3 linked regions of the Rattus norvegicus genome follow. The protein of the gene in region 1 binds, or shares a complex with, the protein of each later gene. Links are inferred from orthologs where the notes say so. Each region holds a gene or a part of one and is shown in the gene's direction. Other genes may lie near its edges. The genes, in order: Capn2, Cast and Capns1.

The links.
Region 2: the proteins of Capn2 (region 1) and Cast are in contact, whole or in part, in a crystal structure (PDB 3BOW), measured with the Rattus norvegicus proteins. Residues at the interface, in NP_058812.1 of Rattus norvegicus: Glu62 (codon at 2,287), Leu63 (codon at 2,290), Ser68 (codon at 2,305), Lys69 (codon at 2,308), Gln99, Gly100, Ala101, Leu102, Gly103, Trp106, Lys161, Asp162, Leu165, Leu166, His169, Ser196, Gly197, Gly198, Thr200, Ser241, Asp243, Ile244, Thr245, Asp249, Ser250, Glu251, Ala252, Val253, Val259, Lys260; in NP_445747.2 of Rattus norvegicus: Glu571, Leu572, Asp573, Ala575, Leu576, Asp577, Glu578, Leu579, Ser580, Ser582, Leu583, Gly584, Gln585, Arg586, Gln587, Pro588, Leu596, Asp597, Asp598, Lys599, Val600, Lys601, Glu602, Lys603, Ile604, Lys605, Ala606, Glu607, His608, Ser609.
Region 3: the proteins of Capn2 (region 1) and Capns1 are in contact, whole or in part, in a crystal structure (PDB 1KFU), measured with the Homo sapiens proteins. The link is inferred for Rattus norvegicus from reciprocal best matches to the Homo sapiens genes CAPN2 and CAPNS1. Residues at the interface, in NP_001739.3 of Homo sapiens: Ala2, Gly3, Ile4, Ala5, Lys7, Leu8, Ala9, Arg12, Glu13, Glu16, Phe60, Arg366, Arg416, Arg417, Arg418, Arg420, Asp494, Ile516, Phe551, Glu575, Lys578, Val581, Asp582, Asp585, Gly588, Ser589, Gly590, Gln641, Leu642, Gln644; in NP_001003962.1 of Homo sapiens: Thr85, His86, Ser88, Asp111, Asp112, Met113, Glu114, Ser116, Thr118, Asp142, Arg145, Ser146, Ala149, Val150, Met151, Asp152, Ser153, Asp154, Thr155, Thr156, Gly157, Gly160, Phe161, Glu163, Asn206, His208, Leu209, Met212, Ile213, Arg215.

What each region holds. Positions count from the first base shown.
Region 1 is NC_086031.1:96,728,803-96,734,302, reverse strand, and holds the start of Capn2 (calpain-2 catalytic subunit), read left to right. Parts: upstream 1-1,677; 5' UTR 1,678-2,103; coding exon 2,104-2,340; intron 2,341-5,500. UniProt on the Homo sapiens protein: Calcium-regulated non-lysosomal thiol-protease which catalyzes limited proteolysis of substrates involved in cytoskeletal remodeling and signal transduction. Proteolytically cleaves MYOC at 'Arg-226'.
Region 2 is NC_086020.1:5,813,724-5,819,479, reverse strand, and holds the start of Cast (calpastatin), read left to right. Parts: upstream 1-2,493; 5' UTR 2,494-2,640; coding exon 2,641-2,715; intron 2,716-3,184; exon of another isoform or gene 3,185-3,335; coding exon of another isoform or gene 3,336-3,365; intron 3,366-5,756.
Region 3 is NC_086019.1:94,578,318-94,584,010, reverse strand, and holds the start of Capns1 (calpain small subunit 1), read left to right. Parts: upstream 1-1,789; 5' UTR 1,790-1,827; intron 1,828-2,726; 5' UTR 2,727-2,741; coding exon 2,742-2,956; intron 2,957-3,934; coding exon 3,935-3,968; intron 3,969-4,232; coding exon 4,233-4,322; intron 4,323-4,453; coding exon 4,454-4,511; intron 4,512-4,615; coding exon 4,616-4,680; intron 4,681-5,693. UniProt on the Homo sapiens protein: Regulatory subunit of the calcium-regulated non-lysosomal thiol-protease which catalyzes limited proteolysis of substrates involved in cytoskeletal remodeling and signal transduction. Essential for embryonic development.

The sequences.
Region 1 (5,500 bases):
GCTGGAGACACACTGGGAAATGACTAGTCAAGCAGGGGAATGCTCCAGCTATCATCATCCCCTTCCCAGAAGCTGGTGAAGGTGGGTTGGAAGCCCTGTTTCATTTGTGTGTGTGCCAGCCCGGGAGAGGCAGAGCTGTGGAGACAGGAAAGAAAGAAGGAACCCCAAATGAAGTTACAGCAAGCGAAGCAGTGGGTCAGCCTTGGGCAACAGTAGACACGAGGTTAAAGACAAGAATAGATACAGTTACAAGAATAGATACAGTTACAAGGCTAATATAGGTATGAACAGTTCTTACAGCTAATATTATGGCTGTCGTATTGATACAGAATGAACACATTTTAAGCGATTTTATTTGACAAATACAGATGGAATAACCAGACACATCATGTTTTGTTTGTTAGCCAGGGTCTCGCTGTGTAGCCCAGCTAGCCTGGAACTCTCCATGCAGACCAGGTTGGCCTGGAATTCATGGAGATCTGCCTGTCCCTGCCTCCCGGTGTTGGGATTTAAAGACATGGCCGCCGTGCTCAACACTAGGCATTTGTTTGCATCGTGATAGTTTCCAAGCTTCATAGCTTTCCCCGGAAGCTGTTTATTTTTTCCCACCGTCTGATTTCCTTTGGCCCCACCCTGATTTCTTCTGGGCTCAGGATTCAAAAGGGAAGTGGGGGGGGGTGACAGCAGACAGACACTTGTGAAGTGACAGTACAGACAAGCCCTCGCCTTGCCACAGGGAGACACTTTGATTCCTCCTGGAAGAGAGTCATTTGCATACCACATAGATATTTCAAGTTGCTACAGTCTCCTGCAGCTTCCAGAGTTACAAACTAAGAAACCATGCAATGCTGAACCAAGATGAGGCCCAAACCAGGGTTTCTCAACCTGGCACAGAGACATTGCAAACTGCATTCTTCTTGCTGTTCTCTCTGTAGAGCGATGCACTCGACCTTTAGTAGCACCCAGCTTCCACACAGTAGAGGCCAGGACCCTCTTTTTCCCCAGTTGCAACAATATGAAGAAAGCCTGCAGTTAGGGTCAAGAGCCTCTTGGGTCACACTGGTGGGTGTGGGTTGCTTCCGGTGGAGACCCCGTGCTTTAAACCACTCATAGAACGAGCAGATACTAAGCCAGCCCAGTATTCATTCCAGAGCTATGTTCAGTGTGTGAGCTGCAACTCCGGAACTCTCCCTGGACAAATGGTACCGTGGTACCTGCCACCAGTAGGGCCTCTGTTCTAAATGCTCTCCCAGCAGCAACTCAATAAACCCTCCCAGGTAAATCTGAGTTTTAACTAAGCACCACACTATCATTCTAGCATAGGTTTGCCTCGAGTGATCTTCCCCCTTTTCTTGAAATTTAGATTTAACACGCATAGATGTTTTCTGTCAAATTGTACAGCCCTACTTATGCATGAGTAGCTGTTCAGTAACTACAGAAGCCCTGGAATCTTAAAATCCGTGTGTTGCCAATGCCTAACCAGCTTTAATTCGTGGGGGTTACATCTTTGAGCTTCTATGAGGCTCAGTTTCTCATCTGTAAGATGGACACATCGGTAGCCATTTCTCAGAGATGTTGGGGTGTAGCACATGTGCCCAGGCCTGCAGAGCTCTCCGATCCTGAGCCCAGTGAGTGGTAACTGGCTCGGTCTTCGCGCGCTCACTCCCTCGTCCGCTCCTGACTCATTTGCTGTTTCCTGGACAGTCATTGCTGAGTTTCACCCTGCCTTCTTCCCGTTGAGTCTCAACTTTCGCACCCCAACTTGCAAGTGCCCTCCCCCACCCTCCTCCACGGCAACCGGGCCTCGCCATCCCGGGATCTGTCCGAAGGTGGCAGCATTGGCCCCTCAGTCCTCCACGGTCGGGCTGTCGCTGTGCAGGTCGCCGGCTGGCCGCGTCCGGAGCCCAGCGCCGAGCAGGCCTGGAGAGGCGGAGGCCACACCCCGCGCGCGGCCCAGGCGCTTCCCGCCGGTGAATCATCCCCGCAGCGGCAGCTCCCGCAGTCCGCTGCAGCGCCCCGGGCTTGGCCGCGCCCCAACCGAGTGCTGCGCCCCGCCTCTCCGCGACCCCTCTCTCTGTGCTGTGCGCCATCCCGATCGCTACCATGGCGGGCATCGCGATGAAACTGGCCAAAGACCGCGAGGCGGCCGAGGGGCTGGGGTCTCACGAGAGAGCCATCAAGTACCTCAACCAGGACTACGAGACACTGCGGAACGAGTGCCTGGAGGCCGGGGCGCTCTTCCAGGATCCTTCCTTCCCCGCCCTGCCGTCGTCCCTGGGCTTCAAGGAGTTGGGGCCCTACTCCAGCAAAACTCGGGGCATCGAATGGAAGCGGCCCACGGTAGGAAGCGCGAGGGGAACGGGTAGGGCCGGGATGGCCTGGAAGGGCACTCGGGGTTCCGGGAGGCTCCAGAGGGAGGCTGCGAGCCCCAGGCTACCGGGTTTGGTAGTCCTGACTTGGTAGTGCTCCTCGATTGCTGCTAAGGGGACTCCAGATGCAGGCTGAGGCCCACCCAGTGGACCTGTCTCAAGCTGCGCCCAGAGCGCTTCGCAGGACAGGACCCCAAATCCCATTAAGTGGACACGCCCTGGGCCTTCGGCTTCGGCTTCACACAGCAGCAGGGCCGCTGGGGTGAAACTTTTATTGGACTTTAGTGGTGAGACGGAGGGAGGAGACATGGGTCAGCTGTGGGGGGTGGGGTGGGGATATCGGAGTTAGGTAGAAGACTCTGGATTGCTGGGGTGAGGGGTAAGGGGCGGTCACAGACTAGCGCTGGCTAACATAGGTGGTCTCAAGTACATGAGGTAAAACGTTACATTTATCCAACTTGAATCTAGTCTATTTCTCAAAGTGCAGTTAGAGGATCCCTCCTCCAATATTGCCCAGGTAACTTAAAGAATCGAAGGGCTCCAATGATCCTGTTACTCATTATTTTGCTGGCCTAGAGTCCTCACCTGGTAACCTCTGCTCGACTCCTAGATGCTCTTGTTCCAACCCTCAGGGCCTCTGCCCTTGAGCCCTTCCCTTTCCCTTATGGTTTAAGGGTTCAGTAGAAGCCCTGCTGGTCCTCATCCCATGGGACCCCGCTTGACTTTTCCAGGGAACAGAGAGGAAATCTAAACTTTTAGATTCCTGTTAGGACAATGGACATTCATACCCTGCTTTCATACTCTTGGTTCTCCCAGGCTGCTTTTGTTATCCTGAATCTAGTCCGAAGTACCCTGGACTAGCTGGGGTGTGGCTCAGCTGGTAAAGTCTTTACTCAGTACGCCTGAAGCCCTGGGTTCTAACCCAAGCACCACATAAAATCAGGAGTATGGTAATGTATGCCTGTAATCCCAGCACTCAGGAGGCGGCGACAGGAGGAGATCAGAGATTCAAAGCCAGGGGCCATAAAGATGGCTCAACCTACTTAGTTCTATCCCAGAACCCACCTGGAAAAAGAGAACCAGCTTCCAAAAATTGTTCTCTGACCTCCACATGCACACTGTGGCACACAAGCAGAGTCTCACAGGCACGTGCGCGCGCGTACACACACACACACACACACACACACACACACACACACACACTAAATAATAAACGACGGAGACTGGTCTGGGTTATGCAGTGCATTTGAGGCCAGCCTGGACTACATGAGATCTTGACTCAAAATTTAAAAGTCTCTGTGGAGCAGGACCCAGAGCACCTGGGTACCTTGGATGGCTCACTGGCTCTCTCTTCCTCACCTCAGCTGGGCGTGGAGGTACACACCCTTGATACTTTGTAGCTTTGGTTGCTTAGTAAGTTCGAGGCCAACCTGAGCTACAAAGTAAGACTGTGTCTCAAAATTAAATGAAATAAAAATAAAACAAACCAGACCTCTCTGCTTTCTCTCTTCCCTAGCACCCTTGGGGCAGCTGCCATGGCTGGTGTCCCCTTCCTGGAGACCCCGTTCTTCTCTCTTACCCTTCTCATCTCCCAGGCATGCTCTTCCTGCAAGTCTGGCTCATTCACATTCTTTCCGAGAGTCCTTTTCCACCCTGCTGTTCTCTGTCCAATGCTCATTTCTGTCCTGGAGTTGTCACCATGAACCAACGCAGTCACATGTTTTCTTGCTTGGCTGAGCTGCTGTGTGTTATTTGCCATGTGCTCTCAGTGTCTTGCCAGGGTAGTGTCCCTTCTCAGGATTCATTCACTCACTCATTGATTCACTCATTCAATCACTCACCAGCATGTAGGGAGTGCTTACCTTAGCCCAGGCATTGGGACATCCATGAACAACAAGTCAGCAACTAATTGGAGAACGAATGAATGAACAAATGTACAGTCATTATGAACCTCAGATGACATCCGGCTGGGGAGACGACTCACAGACAGGAGAACGTGTTCCTTACATTTGCTTACTGTTTTACAACTTCTTATCCTAGTATCATTTCTGTGGTTATAAGACACCCTAAGCAAAAGCAACTAAGGGGAACAGCTGGCTTACAGTTCCAGGCTACAATTCATCATTAAGGGGAAGTCAAAGCAGGAACTCAAAGCTGAGGCACGTTCACCACCCACACACATACTGAGTCCACGGACCTTCCATTCAGTCGATGAGCAGTGATTGAACACCTCTTTTATTCCAGGCACAGTATACTTAGTTTCTGTCTCTGAACCCACGGAGGGCAGAAATGTCCTTCAACAGGTGACAGTGCCCGTGGACCTTCTGAGTAGAAAAAACAGAATTCCAGAGCCACTTCAGGGACACTGCCTAGGGCAAGCGGGCTATGCACCACACATCTTCATACAGTTGGAGAGACCAAAGCTTAGGAGTGTCAAATTTTCTCAAAACAAATAAGGACTGGAGCCGTGGCATGGCTGGACTACCTGTCTTGACCTGTCCTGTCAAACACCCGTGACTTGATTTAAGAGTTGTTTGGCTGTGAACAACTTGAGTTTGCTAAAGGTTGAATCACGAAAGAGGAAGGGATTAAAGGTGACTTCCAGAGAAAGCAGGACAGGCAAGGGAGCCGGTTAGCCATGTTGTGGGCTTGGGAGCTGATAACTCTTCCCGAGAGAATGTCATAGCACTGGCAAGAGAGCTCTCCACTGCAAAGAGATGACATAGACCATGACCACAGCCATACTGAGGGCAGTGGCCATGCCAGTCCACAGTGACGAGTGGCCCAGCATCATCTAAGGCTGGCCCATGAGGTCCTCCCAGCTGTCATGATAGAGTATTTGCCAAGGCCATTCACCTGACCCTGAGAACAGTCCTCTGTGGTGGTACACTTGTCTTCTTCAAACCCATTGTACAGATTCGGAACAAGCTTCAGGATGTCAAGTAACCCACCAGCATCCCAGGCCTTAGGCAATAAACGGCAGGGCTGAGATTCTCAGTGACTTATCAGAATCCAAGGCTCAAGCCTTCTTCCTTCTATGGCTACATTGTGTTTCATTCCAGGCTCCACAGGCTGTGACTGGGGCTCAGTTTTCTAAAGTATCTCTGGGTTGTGAAGTCTGAACTTGGACT
Region 2 (5,756 bases), on another chromosome or scaffold:
TTGGGCCAACCTAATCTTTGAGAAGTACTCCTTGTCTTGGCTTCTGGAGTCTAATACTCTATCAGTTTCCTTCTGCTCCTGCAGTTCCCTCTCAGCTCCTTTATTTCTTTCTTGATTTCATTTTACCCATTTCCTAATAAAAGTGGAAGGTTTCTGAATCAGAGAGGATGAAAAGGATGTAAAAGATGAAGTCTGCCTATAGAGGATCTCAACTCTTTGGCATCAAGCACATGATAAAGGAACAAATCAGAGGAGGCTCTCTCCTGGGTTGACCACCAGTCCCTCCAGAAAGGCAATATGCCCCTTGTTGGGATCCTACAGCGCTCCTTGGAAGATTTCTTCATGACTGAGTGTTCTGTTTGTTTGTTTGTTTGTTTATCTTTTTTTAAAATTAACTTGAGTATTTCTTATATACATTTCAAGTGTTATTCCCTTTCCCGGTTTCCGGGCAAACATCCCCCCAATCCCTCCCCCTCCCCTTCTTTATGGGTGTTCCCTTCCCCACCCTCCCCCCATTGCTGCCCTCCCCCCAACAATCTAGTTCACTGGGGGTTCAGTCTTAGCAGGACCCAGGGCTTCCCCTTCCACTGGTGCTCTTATTAGGATATTCATTGCTACCTATGAGGTCAGAGTCCACGGCTTAGCATAGGTCTCTAATACCTCCTTGTATCAAGAACCTGGTGCTAGATTTTTTTTTTTTAAGGATAAATAGTTGCAATATCCACAGACATTGTTATAGGAAATGCTGCCTCTATCTGTGCAGGGATTCTCTAAGATCCCCAAATGTGAAGACCTTCCTTTCATGGTTTCAGTAACTCTCAGTTACAAAGCAAAATACTTCAACTTCTGACATTAGTTTTTACTCATAGCCATTAATGTGCTGGGAAACAGTGTTTGACTTAAATACTGAGTCAAGCAAAACCTGAGAAATAGCATTGTTAAGCTTTATGGATTTTCATAACTTGTGGCAAATTGTAGTCAGTAAGTTATAGAATGCCAAATAGATCTGTTGATCTGAACGGAGACCCTCAGCTTCATAAGACAAAAAGATGAGAGTGTTCCCTTTATTTCCTGCAGTGTCTCTTCTCTTCCTGTCCACACTGTACCAACACCCTCTACATTTCTCTTTTCTTGTCTATAATCAACAGTACCCATGAAACACCACATTCCAGAAGCACATTTGTCTTTATTTACATACTGTATATTTCCCATTGCCACCCAATCAATCACCAACTAAATCCAAATAACTTGTAAGTTCCTGGGTCCCAGGGGAGTCCCAAGTTTAGTCTTTGCATATCCTTCTCTCTACTATTCCTCCCATAGGGCTTTACATAGAAGACTCTCAATGAATGCAAAATTAACTGGTTTAAATTCAATTTTTAAATATTCTGCTGAAAAACATAAGACTTTTTTTTTTCAGTCTAACGATTTTCCCTATTTTGGATGTAAATGATGCATGCCACCAACCAATCTTTGCTAATGACAGTTTGTACACCAAAATGTTTCAATTTATGTATGCATTCTTGCACTGCTACCTATCTTTTGAAATATTGGTGACATTATACATAGAGCACTTCACGAAGAAATGCATAAAATCCAAGAACATTGCTAATTAATTTGTGAGAAGTTGAGAGATATCCCTAAAATTGAAGGGGCACTGGACAACCATAATTCTGTTCTGCCAAGCTCCTTATAGCATGGCAAATCTTGCTCTGTAATGGGGCTTCTCTCTTGTCATCTGTCTAAAACCTAGCTCTCTAGCATGTTGACGAAAAACCACAAATCACAATGCTATTGTGGTGGCACAGGCTTTTTTTGTGGCTGGCACTAGTCAGCAGTATCTGCAGGCTGACAAACCCTTTGGATGAGTACTCAAAAAGATTGTTAAATTTCACTTCCAGCCCCAAACCAGGAAGTACTGCCTAAAATGAAGCCAAGTCAAAAGCAATTCAACATCAGAAATGTAGGCTCCAGAAAAGGAGATGACTTTAAAGTCCGTGATTGTCTGCTGATTTGGATTAGAGCAGGCAGGCTAGCTTCTGCTTGTAAACCATTAGTACACTTACAGAATTGCCTATATAAATAATCAAATACAGGACATAGCACACTCAGAAGTACACAAACACTGAGAGACCAATTTCTTCTCAAGATCCTTTCTCTTATCTTTAGTTCGGATTTAGGCTAGAGTTGAATTAGTGACAGATTGCAGAAAAGTGTCTAATTCTCCAAATTCTTAGGAAAGGAAGTCTAGACCACGCCCCAGTTTAGCTCTCTGGTTACACAATGTCTAGATTGGTCTGGACAAGTCCACCCGGGAACTGCAACCTCCAGCTTCCCCAATTTGTGATCCACTGAGAACCCTGCAGTTTTGGGGCCAGTCTGGGGAGGGTCTTGTGTACGAACCCTGAGCAGAGGGCGTTAAACTGCAGTTCAGGGTTGCTGACAAATTGGGCAGTGAGCGGCCCACAGGAAGAGGAGGGCCTAACCGGGCGAGGGGGAGCTGGCCCGGGCTCAGGGCTGGGTCGGAAAAGCTGCCTCACTGCGCCGTTCCGCTCCACCGCCCCGAGCTCTGGCCTGGGCCTCCCGTACAATTTCTCTGCGCTTTCCCAGAGGCTGCACTCGCAGCAGTTTCACCAAATAATGTCCCGGCCCGGCCCGAAGCCCGCCGCCTCTTCCAGGCCCCGGCGCGGGGCGGCAGCTAGCCACACCCAGGAGGTGAGTAGTACTCCGAACCGAGCCGCGGGGCAAGCGGCAGGGGGCCGTAGTCCAGGAGTGCCTCGCAGCAGTTCTGGGGCGTTGCCCCTCCTTGGCACCTTCCAGATAGGAAAAGGATCAGAGCTCTGTGACTGCGGGCAAGCAGGTGGCCCCAGGCTCTTTAAATTTGGTAGTGTCACGAGTTGGGTGGAGGGGCTCTTGGAGCAACACGGGCTAGTGAGACCAAGGCAGTGCACAAGGCATGGAAGCAGAATAAAGTATACTCCGGACTTTCGGAGTGAGTGGGCTCGTACGGCACGGCAGAGGGCCTCTGCCCTCCATGTGAAGTCACCCCCCACCCCCACCCTCACACACTTTCCATGTAGGGAGTGGCGGCTGAAGAACTGACACACACCTCTTTCCTAATTAGCCAGATCGGACAGGGCGGGACCACGCTAGCTGTGGGCGGGTCCTATCGCTCCTTTCCCTTGTGCCCTCCCACCGGGCAGCTGCGTAACACCCTGTGCCCTGTCAGAAAGGTCCCAGCCAGGCAGAGAGTCGTAGTGGTGCCACCAGCACCTCACTCTTCGTCCTGGACAGCTTCCCAGCAGCGCGGCTCGGAGCACGTCAGGGTTGTCGCCATGGCATTCGCAAACTGGTGGTACAAGACGGTAAATAGAAGGGACCGAGCTTGGGCAGCACTGGGAAGGGAGTGTATTTACCTCGCCCCACTGGCAGGTTGAGGAAATATGGCATGAAGTTGGAGGGCCAAGGGTGAGACCGGGTGAGAACTCCTTGCAGACCTTCTGGTTAAGCTCGGGCAGAAGCTGGAGGCTCTCCCTTCCGTGGTATGCGGACGCATACTGGGCGGTACAGTCTGGGCAGCGAGGTGCACCAGGCTCAGCTCGCATTCCCAAATTGAATGGACAGCAATCCTTAATTTCTGCCCTTTGAAACACTTACCTGGATACATAGAAAAGAAGCACTGAAGCCCAGGTTTAGTTTTTCGACTGCTAAGTAAAGATAAAAACTTACAAAGAATGGTGGGTGAAGCAGTTTCAAACTCGAAAGAGGAGGATGGGGAATGGAAAAGAAGAAAAGATCAGAGAACAATTGTGATCAATTAATACTCTGGCGGGAAGGGGGATGGGGGAGAGAGAGAGAAATGAGTATATGTCACTACTCTGTATTACTTTGCAAGAGGACAAACGTGTTCCATTTGGTTAGTGGTTAGTCTGTCCTACCAAGTATGTGTTATACCCAGTCAAACTGGAACTTGTAATGTTTTGAAACCAGGAAGCATGGTTTTTACATTACATTTAAAAAAGAAAAAACAACAACAAAAACAAAAGTTTCCAACCCTTTGTTGACAGAGAGTCATGAGGTGATTTATGGTGAGAATTTCAAAATCTTAGGTCCACCTTCTCAGGAGGTGGTATGGACAAAGTAAAGATGCAGTAATCAGATAATCTTTGCATCTACAAACTTTGGGTTAGAATTAGAAAATAGGCATTGAGAACTGATTGATCATCTAAGTGTGCTAGCCTTCAAGTGCACTGTAGAGTTCTTAACTCAAGTGGCAATGATTTCAATGTGTGAGTCTTTATGTTTTCATATCTGTCAAATACCAAATATTTACATAAGGACTATTCAGCAGTAGACATGCCACATATGTGTTTTCAGTGATGTTTCTTCATGAATGTTCTCCCTTACACTTTTCTGTGCTGTTTAAATGTATAGTTTTATTAATTTGCTGAGAGCGTATGTTTGCATTGAGTCATGATTGTCCCAGAATTCTTATCAAAATGCACCCATTAAATTATCTGCAAATATGGGTGGCAGGTGTTCAACTAACATCAGATTTCTCTGTCCAAGCTTGGCGTTGTCTAAAGGAAATTGTGCCAGCTACTTAGATGAAGATAGCTTAGATCTTTGCTTTTAATACCTACTGCACTGTGTGAGACACTTTGATATTTTTGCCCAAATTCCACTACAAGCCAGTTTGGGGATTATTATTTAAGACTTCTGCTTGTGCTAACTTTCTAGAACTTTCAGCATGCTTGTGATCAAGTTTTGACTTTTCTCCAGCAGAAAAGTACTATGATACCCAAAAGGGCTTTAAAAATTTGTAACAGTCCCATTAACAAAAATATTTTAAGAAGTCAAGTATGTTAATAACATTTTTGTTAACTGGCTCTATCCTAGGTGACATTTAAGTATGTAATCATGTGCTAAAAATGACAAGTCACCTCTTTTTGTGCTAATTACTCAAAAATCTGGCTGTGCAGTTATGTTATACTCACAGTATCTCCCAATTCCCATATTTCAGAGTTTCACTTGCCACTGTGGCTAGTGAAATAACACAGGCAGGAAAGCTCTAAGTGGCTTGTTCCTAATCTTCTTTTGTTTTTATTGTTGTTGTTTGTTTGTTTGTTTGTGTTTTTTACATTTCATTTTGAGAATGAAATATAGTACTTTCTCTCAACAATATACATATATAATTTGCCTCTTCAAGGCATGCAAAGTCTGCACAAATCTTTCTCCAATGCCAATTTTAACATATAGATACATATAAATGCATATGTTCTTATATTCTGTGCATATATAAAATATGTGTACATATTTTCATATGTGCAATGTATATATTAAGTAGTTTTGTTTATGTGCCTATGAATAAAAGTGTGCTGTTAAACCCTTTTATCACATATTCAGCCACCAATCAAAAATAATTTTTAAAAATTGAATCTTCATTGAACATGTATCAATTTCTTTTGTCATTATTCCCCAAGCAATATAATATAAAAATGTGGATATGCCTTAATATTGGGTATCATAGAGCACAGGAAGACAGTGAATAGTTTAGATGTGAACATGCTATTTCATACAAGCCATTTGAGCATCTGCAGGATTTGATTTCTCAAAACATTTCTAAAACCAGTTTCCGAAAGATACCAATGGAATTCTACACACACCGCACACACATCCTTGTAGAATACTTCTAGTGAGTCCTATAATTAGAATATCCTTAGTATCCTTAGTAAGATTCTTTAAATACTAAAAAT
Region 3 (5,693 bases), on another chromosome or scaffold:
CAAAGCACCCGTGAATCTTTCTTTGTTTGAGTCAAGGTCTCACTATGTAGCCCCATCTGTTCTCTGGAACTCACTGTGTAGACCAGGCTGGCCTCAGACTCAAGAGTTCAGCCTGCCTCAGCCCCCAGACTACTGGTATCAAAGGCAGTCTGCGATAGGCTCCCTGAAGCATTTTTAAATTGTTTTGAGATAGGGCCCTGTGGTGTAGCTCACCTGCCTTAGTCTTCTGGGCCCTGGGCAAGTATCATCCCGTTTACTGATGTTCTGAGGGCACCAAGCTGGTAGCCTCACCGAGTCCTGGGTGAAGGTGAGGACAAAGAGGACTTCCCAAGTGAGAGACGCCTGAGCTCCCATCCAAAGCGGAGGACACAGACAGTCAAATCCAAACACAGGAGTATTTGTAGGCAGAGGGCAGGGCTTGTGCCAGTGAGTTGAGCCTGAGGTCAGACTGCTTAGTGTGGCAGAGGGGTGTGGCAGAGGGGTGTGGCAGAGGGGTGTGGCAGAGAGGGAATCCACATTAGTCATCACCAAATCATTTATCCGCTCTGGCTTAGATCTGGGTCACCACCCTCTGTGATCCCGCCTTTCAGAGCTTCCAGTTTCGCTAAGGTTAAGTCTTGCTTCCCACACACACAGGCCTGAGCAACAATTAACCTGGCTTGCTCCCAGCAAGCCCTTAGGTGGTGTTAGTGCCATTGCAATTTTGTCCGTTGAGATCTTATTTGACTGATGATCACATTAAATTATTGGAGATTCTTTGAACAGGTAAGGCAGACTGGTTGTTTAACCTCAGTTTACCTATATATAGAATGGGGACAATAACAGCGTCTGTCCCACAGTCCTGCCGCGAGGGCACACAACCTGGTGAGCGCAGAGCACGGAGGAACTGGCAGTTACTTGTCGATATTGCTTAAGGATGGGCAAGAGTAAATGAGCTGAGGGATCGGGGTGAGCTCCTAGCTGAGGGAACAATATGGTGACCTGGGGACTAACAGGAGAGCTGCCATTTTCCCTGTATTTATCACTTAATTCTGGGGCTCATCCAGGGGAACCTGTGTCTAACGTCCTCGAGGGTCTCATGTAGCCGCCCCCACCTCCAAGGGCTGGTGTTACAGGTGTGCGTCATCACGCCTGGCTGTGTTCCCTCCTTACAGATGAGGAAATCATTACTCAGAGACACCAGGTCACTGTTTTAGGGATGAGCAATACAGGCTCAAACCAAGGTTTACATAGTCCCAACGGAGCGGCCAGACAGCCAGACTAGAAGCCAAAAGGCGACCTGGGTGGGAGGCACAAACTGAAGGTAAACTAAAGATTTAGAGTCCTAGCATTGGAGAAGCAGAAGCAGGAGGATTGCTTCGAGTTTGAGGTGAGCCAGGGCTTTAGATCAGCTTAGGGTGTTGAACAAAACTCTATCTCAAAGTGCACGATGAATGAATGAATGACAATAACTGAAGTCCTTTTTTGCAACTATATACTGCAAAGGTGACCAGGTAGCCTGGATCTAGTTCCTGGAGGCTCCAGTGCCTGGGCGTTAGAATGGTCTACTCGTACTCATAGCTATTAAATCTGGAGAGCGTTGAATTACCAGCAGTGTGTGTACGGGGAGGGCTGAGCTAGGTAGAGACACAATCATAGCCCGCTACGTAGGGCGGGGCCTCCTGCGCAGGCGCAGTCTGCAATGGCGGCTCTAGGACCGCGCGGACCGCGGCTGGGTGGCGAGCCGGCTTTAACCCGGAGCTGCCTGAGTCACCGGCCCCGCCCTCCAGAGCCGGACACAGCGGGAGGCCCAGCGGCGGGCGAGCAAGACCGCGGACCGCCGGATCCGTAAGTGAGACGGGGCGCTTCAGTCCAGCACCCCTGCACCCCGCTGCCCGGGATCCGCTGTCCTCAGATCTGGCGAGACCCTAAAGTCGTGGCCTTGGGGGTCTTAGGACCCGTGTTCTCAGATCCGAACAACCAGGCCTGTCAGACGCTGGTCATTCCCTCCAGAGCACTCCTTGCCATCCCGGAACTCAGGATCAAAAATATAACCCCAAAGATCAGAGAGGCACCCATAAATTATCTGGGGCGTCTAGAACCACGATCCGAGATCCTGGTTCCAATTTGCGGTGTGTAGAACTCCGTTATCCGGGATCCTCCGGGCGCACAGCCATAATTTTAGGCCGGAGTCCCACAGATCCCTAATGACAGTGTAGTTCCTCTGTCGAAACTACCTGAATGTCCTAATCCACATTAGGGACTTCCTGGACTCAGCCCTGGGTCACCCCTACCCTGAGCTCAATTCTGGAAGGCCTGGATCTGAGACACGTCCGGTATACCTTACCCAACTGGGGAGTGGGGGTCCTTACATGGGGAATCCCCTGTTTCCCCGCTGCCTCAAGACAGGGGTAATCCAGGCTGGCGCTGTAGCCGAGGTTGGCCTTGAACTGATCCTCCAGCCTCAGCCTCCCAATTTCTGGGATTACAGTTGAGCGCCACCACGCTCGTCCAGCTCTACCCCTGTCCTCATTGACCACGTTTGCAGTCAAGCCTGGGCCAGGGTACCTGCTAGACCCTAGGAGGTTTCGCACCTTCCTGTCACCTGTCCAGATTCTGCCCCCATCCCGAGGCCTCTGTTCTGTCCCCAATCTAATTGCCGGAAATGCTTTCTTTTTTTTTCTTTTTGCGGGAAGGGCTGGGTTCTTGGCAAGACGACTACCTGACCCACCCCCTTTTCTTTACAGGACTCTGCTGCAAACATGTTCTTGGTGAATTCGTTCTTGAAGGGCGGCGGTGGCGGTGGGGGAGGCGGGGGTCTGGGCGGGGGCCTGGGCAATGTGCTCGGAGGCCTGATCAGCGGAGCTGCTGGAGGCGGCGGCGGTGGAGGCGGCGGTGGCGGCATGGGACTGGGAGGAGGTGGCGGAGGCGGTGGAACAGCCATGCGTATCCTGGGCGGAGTCATTAGCGCCATCAGGTAAGGCGGGGCCTAAAGGGGCAGGGTGGGCCAAATTATAAAGAAGCTCACTTAGAGGTCCGACATGGGAATCCTAATTAGGTTGGGCTGGTCCAAACTGGAAAAGTGGCCCTAAGGGGATCCCAACGAGACTGGTGTCACTTTTTAAAAACTGGGTTAGTAAACTTGCTTCTGTGGGTCAATAAATAGGATGCAGTTTCTTGGGGGTGGGGAGGAGGTACTCTTCTGTGTTTGGGGAAGGTATGATCCTATAAGACTGTATCCAGTCTTCACTGGGGGCGGAGCCAGTGGATCTGAAGTTGCTCCATGATTTAAGATTTGACCTAAGTGGAGCTTGCTGTTATAGGAGAGATCAGAACCCCCGAAAGAAGAAATGGTCCAGAGAAGGTTGTGTGGGGTCGGGAGCTGATTGGGTTGGTGGATAAAAATCCTAGCTGGGGTAAGAGCAGGTGACTGACACCTGATTATCTTTGGCGATCCAAGCAGTGATTCCTGGGAGGAGTAGGTGTTGATGGGGGAGAGGTTGGGAAGCTAGATAATCTGCAAAAGGAGCGATGGAGTCAGGCTCTGGACAAAGACCTGACCTGAGGAAGATAGAGGCATAGGGGAAACTGGTGCAGACCGACCCCTTAAGAAGCGAGTTCTTCAAGGGGCGGGCCCTGTTAAGTTTGGTGGGTTTTCGGGATTTTGATTGGGGCTAAGATGCTTCTGACATTGTGATTGGTGGGTGTTCCTGGGGCAAGGTAAGGATTCTTCCGTGGGGTGGGCCCTTGGGAGGTGGGAGGGGTTGGCCTGATGGAGGAAAAGGAGGAGCCGCAGAAAGCTGTTGATTGGGCCAGGTGAGAACGACGAGATAGACGAGAGGAGGAGGGACCCCTTAAGGAAGAGGAGGGCTGGAGTTTGAGGGGTTGACTGACCGTTCTGCCGCCCGTTGGAGGCTCTGCCCCCATGCGCTAACTCACCCTTGTCTCCCCTCAGCGAGGCTGCTGCGCAGTACAACCCGGAGCCCCCGGTAAGCGGCCCTAGAGACCCTTCCTCCCTAGGCCTGTTGCCCGCATTATCTTACCCATTCCTATGTATAAGGCTCCCCTTCCTTCCTTGGAAAATTCCCCTGCCGGCAAGAATGTCCTTTTTGAGGGCCCCTATTGTCTCAGCCACGCTACTTGCTACACTCACCTCAAACTGCCCACCCCTCCCTGACTTTTCCCTGGGATCTTGGGTATGAGGAGAGAGACGTGTTTCTCCACGTCTGTTCTGAAATCGCTTCTCTCTGCAGCCCCCACGTAGCCATTACTCTAATATTGAGGCCAACGAGAGTGAAGAGGAACGTCAGTTCAGGAAACTTTTTGTCCAGCTGGCTGGAGACGTAAGTATACTGCGTGGCTGCTCCACGGTGTTACCTGACTGTGAAAAACCGGAAGTTCCCACCCCGTTTTGTTTTATGGTATCCAGACCTCTTTCCATCTCCCTTGAACCATACTTAACTTCTGCCATCAGGACATGGAGGTCAGCGCTACAGAACTCATGAATATCCTCAACAAGGTCGTGACCCGACGTAAGTGACCAGGGTCAGGGAGTGATGAAGGTGTAGAGGCGTATGGGCTGGGATGATCTTTGACCTCTGACCTTCAACCTGTCCACCCATCTAACCCCCCTCAGACCCAGATCTGAAAACTGATGGGTTCGGCATTGACACTTGTCGGAGCATGGTGGCTGTTATGGATGTATCCTTTTGGGGCCAGTCTGGAGGATGTCTTGGGTGAAGAGGGTGTTTTCTGGGAGTATGTTGAGGACAGACGAGGTGAAGCCTTCATACCTGAGGACACAGGCCTACCTACATGACACCACCAGAACTTTACCTGGATTAGGAGACCCAACCTTTACAGATACCTTGTTAGATAAGGACAATGTAATAGGAAAGGAAACAGGGTCAGAGAGACACAGTGGTTTTTTTTTTTTTTTTTTTTTTTTTTTTAATTAAAATTGCACCCTGGTGCATTGATTTTAATTTGGGAACTCAATCCAAGGCAGTTTCTCCTTAGTGGTGGCCCTCTGGCCCTGGACACACACACACAGACTGGGGGCCCGCAGAATAGCTGGAACAGCAAGGGATGGGACAATCAAATATCCATTCATCAGAGGGCAGCCAAGTCTTCAGTTCTGCACACCTTGCTGGTGATTGGGTGACAAGTTTCAGAGAGACACAGTGGTTTTGTCTCTGGCCAACCCACCCAGAACTCACTGGACTTGAATATCTGATCTTGGAAGCTAATCTTGGGGCTACTCGAGACTTAGATAACAGAACCAATCATTTGGAGAATACATGGCAGGTTAGGAATTTGGACTTGGGAGTTTCGATTTGAGAATCTAAGCTGCTTTTATTTCTCTATTTACTTTTAAATGATATTGATTGATTGATTGGTTTTTGAGACCGGGTTTCTCTGCCTTGGCCGGCCTGGAATTCACTCTGTAGACCTGGCTGGCCTCGAACTCCGAGATCTGCCCACCTTTGCCTCCCAAGTTACAGAATTAAAGGAGTGTGCCACCATCATGAGATTATCAGTTTTAGGTGTACTTATTTTATGTGTCTGGGTGTTTTGTCTGAATGTAATTATGTGCACCTGATACATGTCTGGTGTTGGAAGAGGACAAAAGAGGGTATCAAACCTCTCAAGAGTGTGTTACAGGGGGGTTGGGGATTTAGCTCAGTAGTAGAGCACTTGCCTAGCAAGCGCAA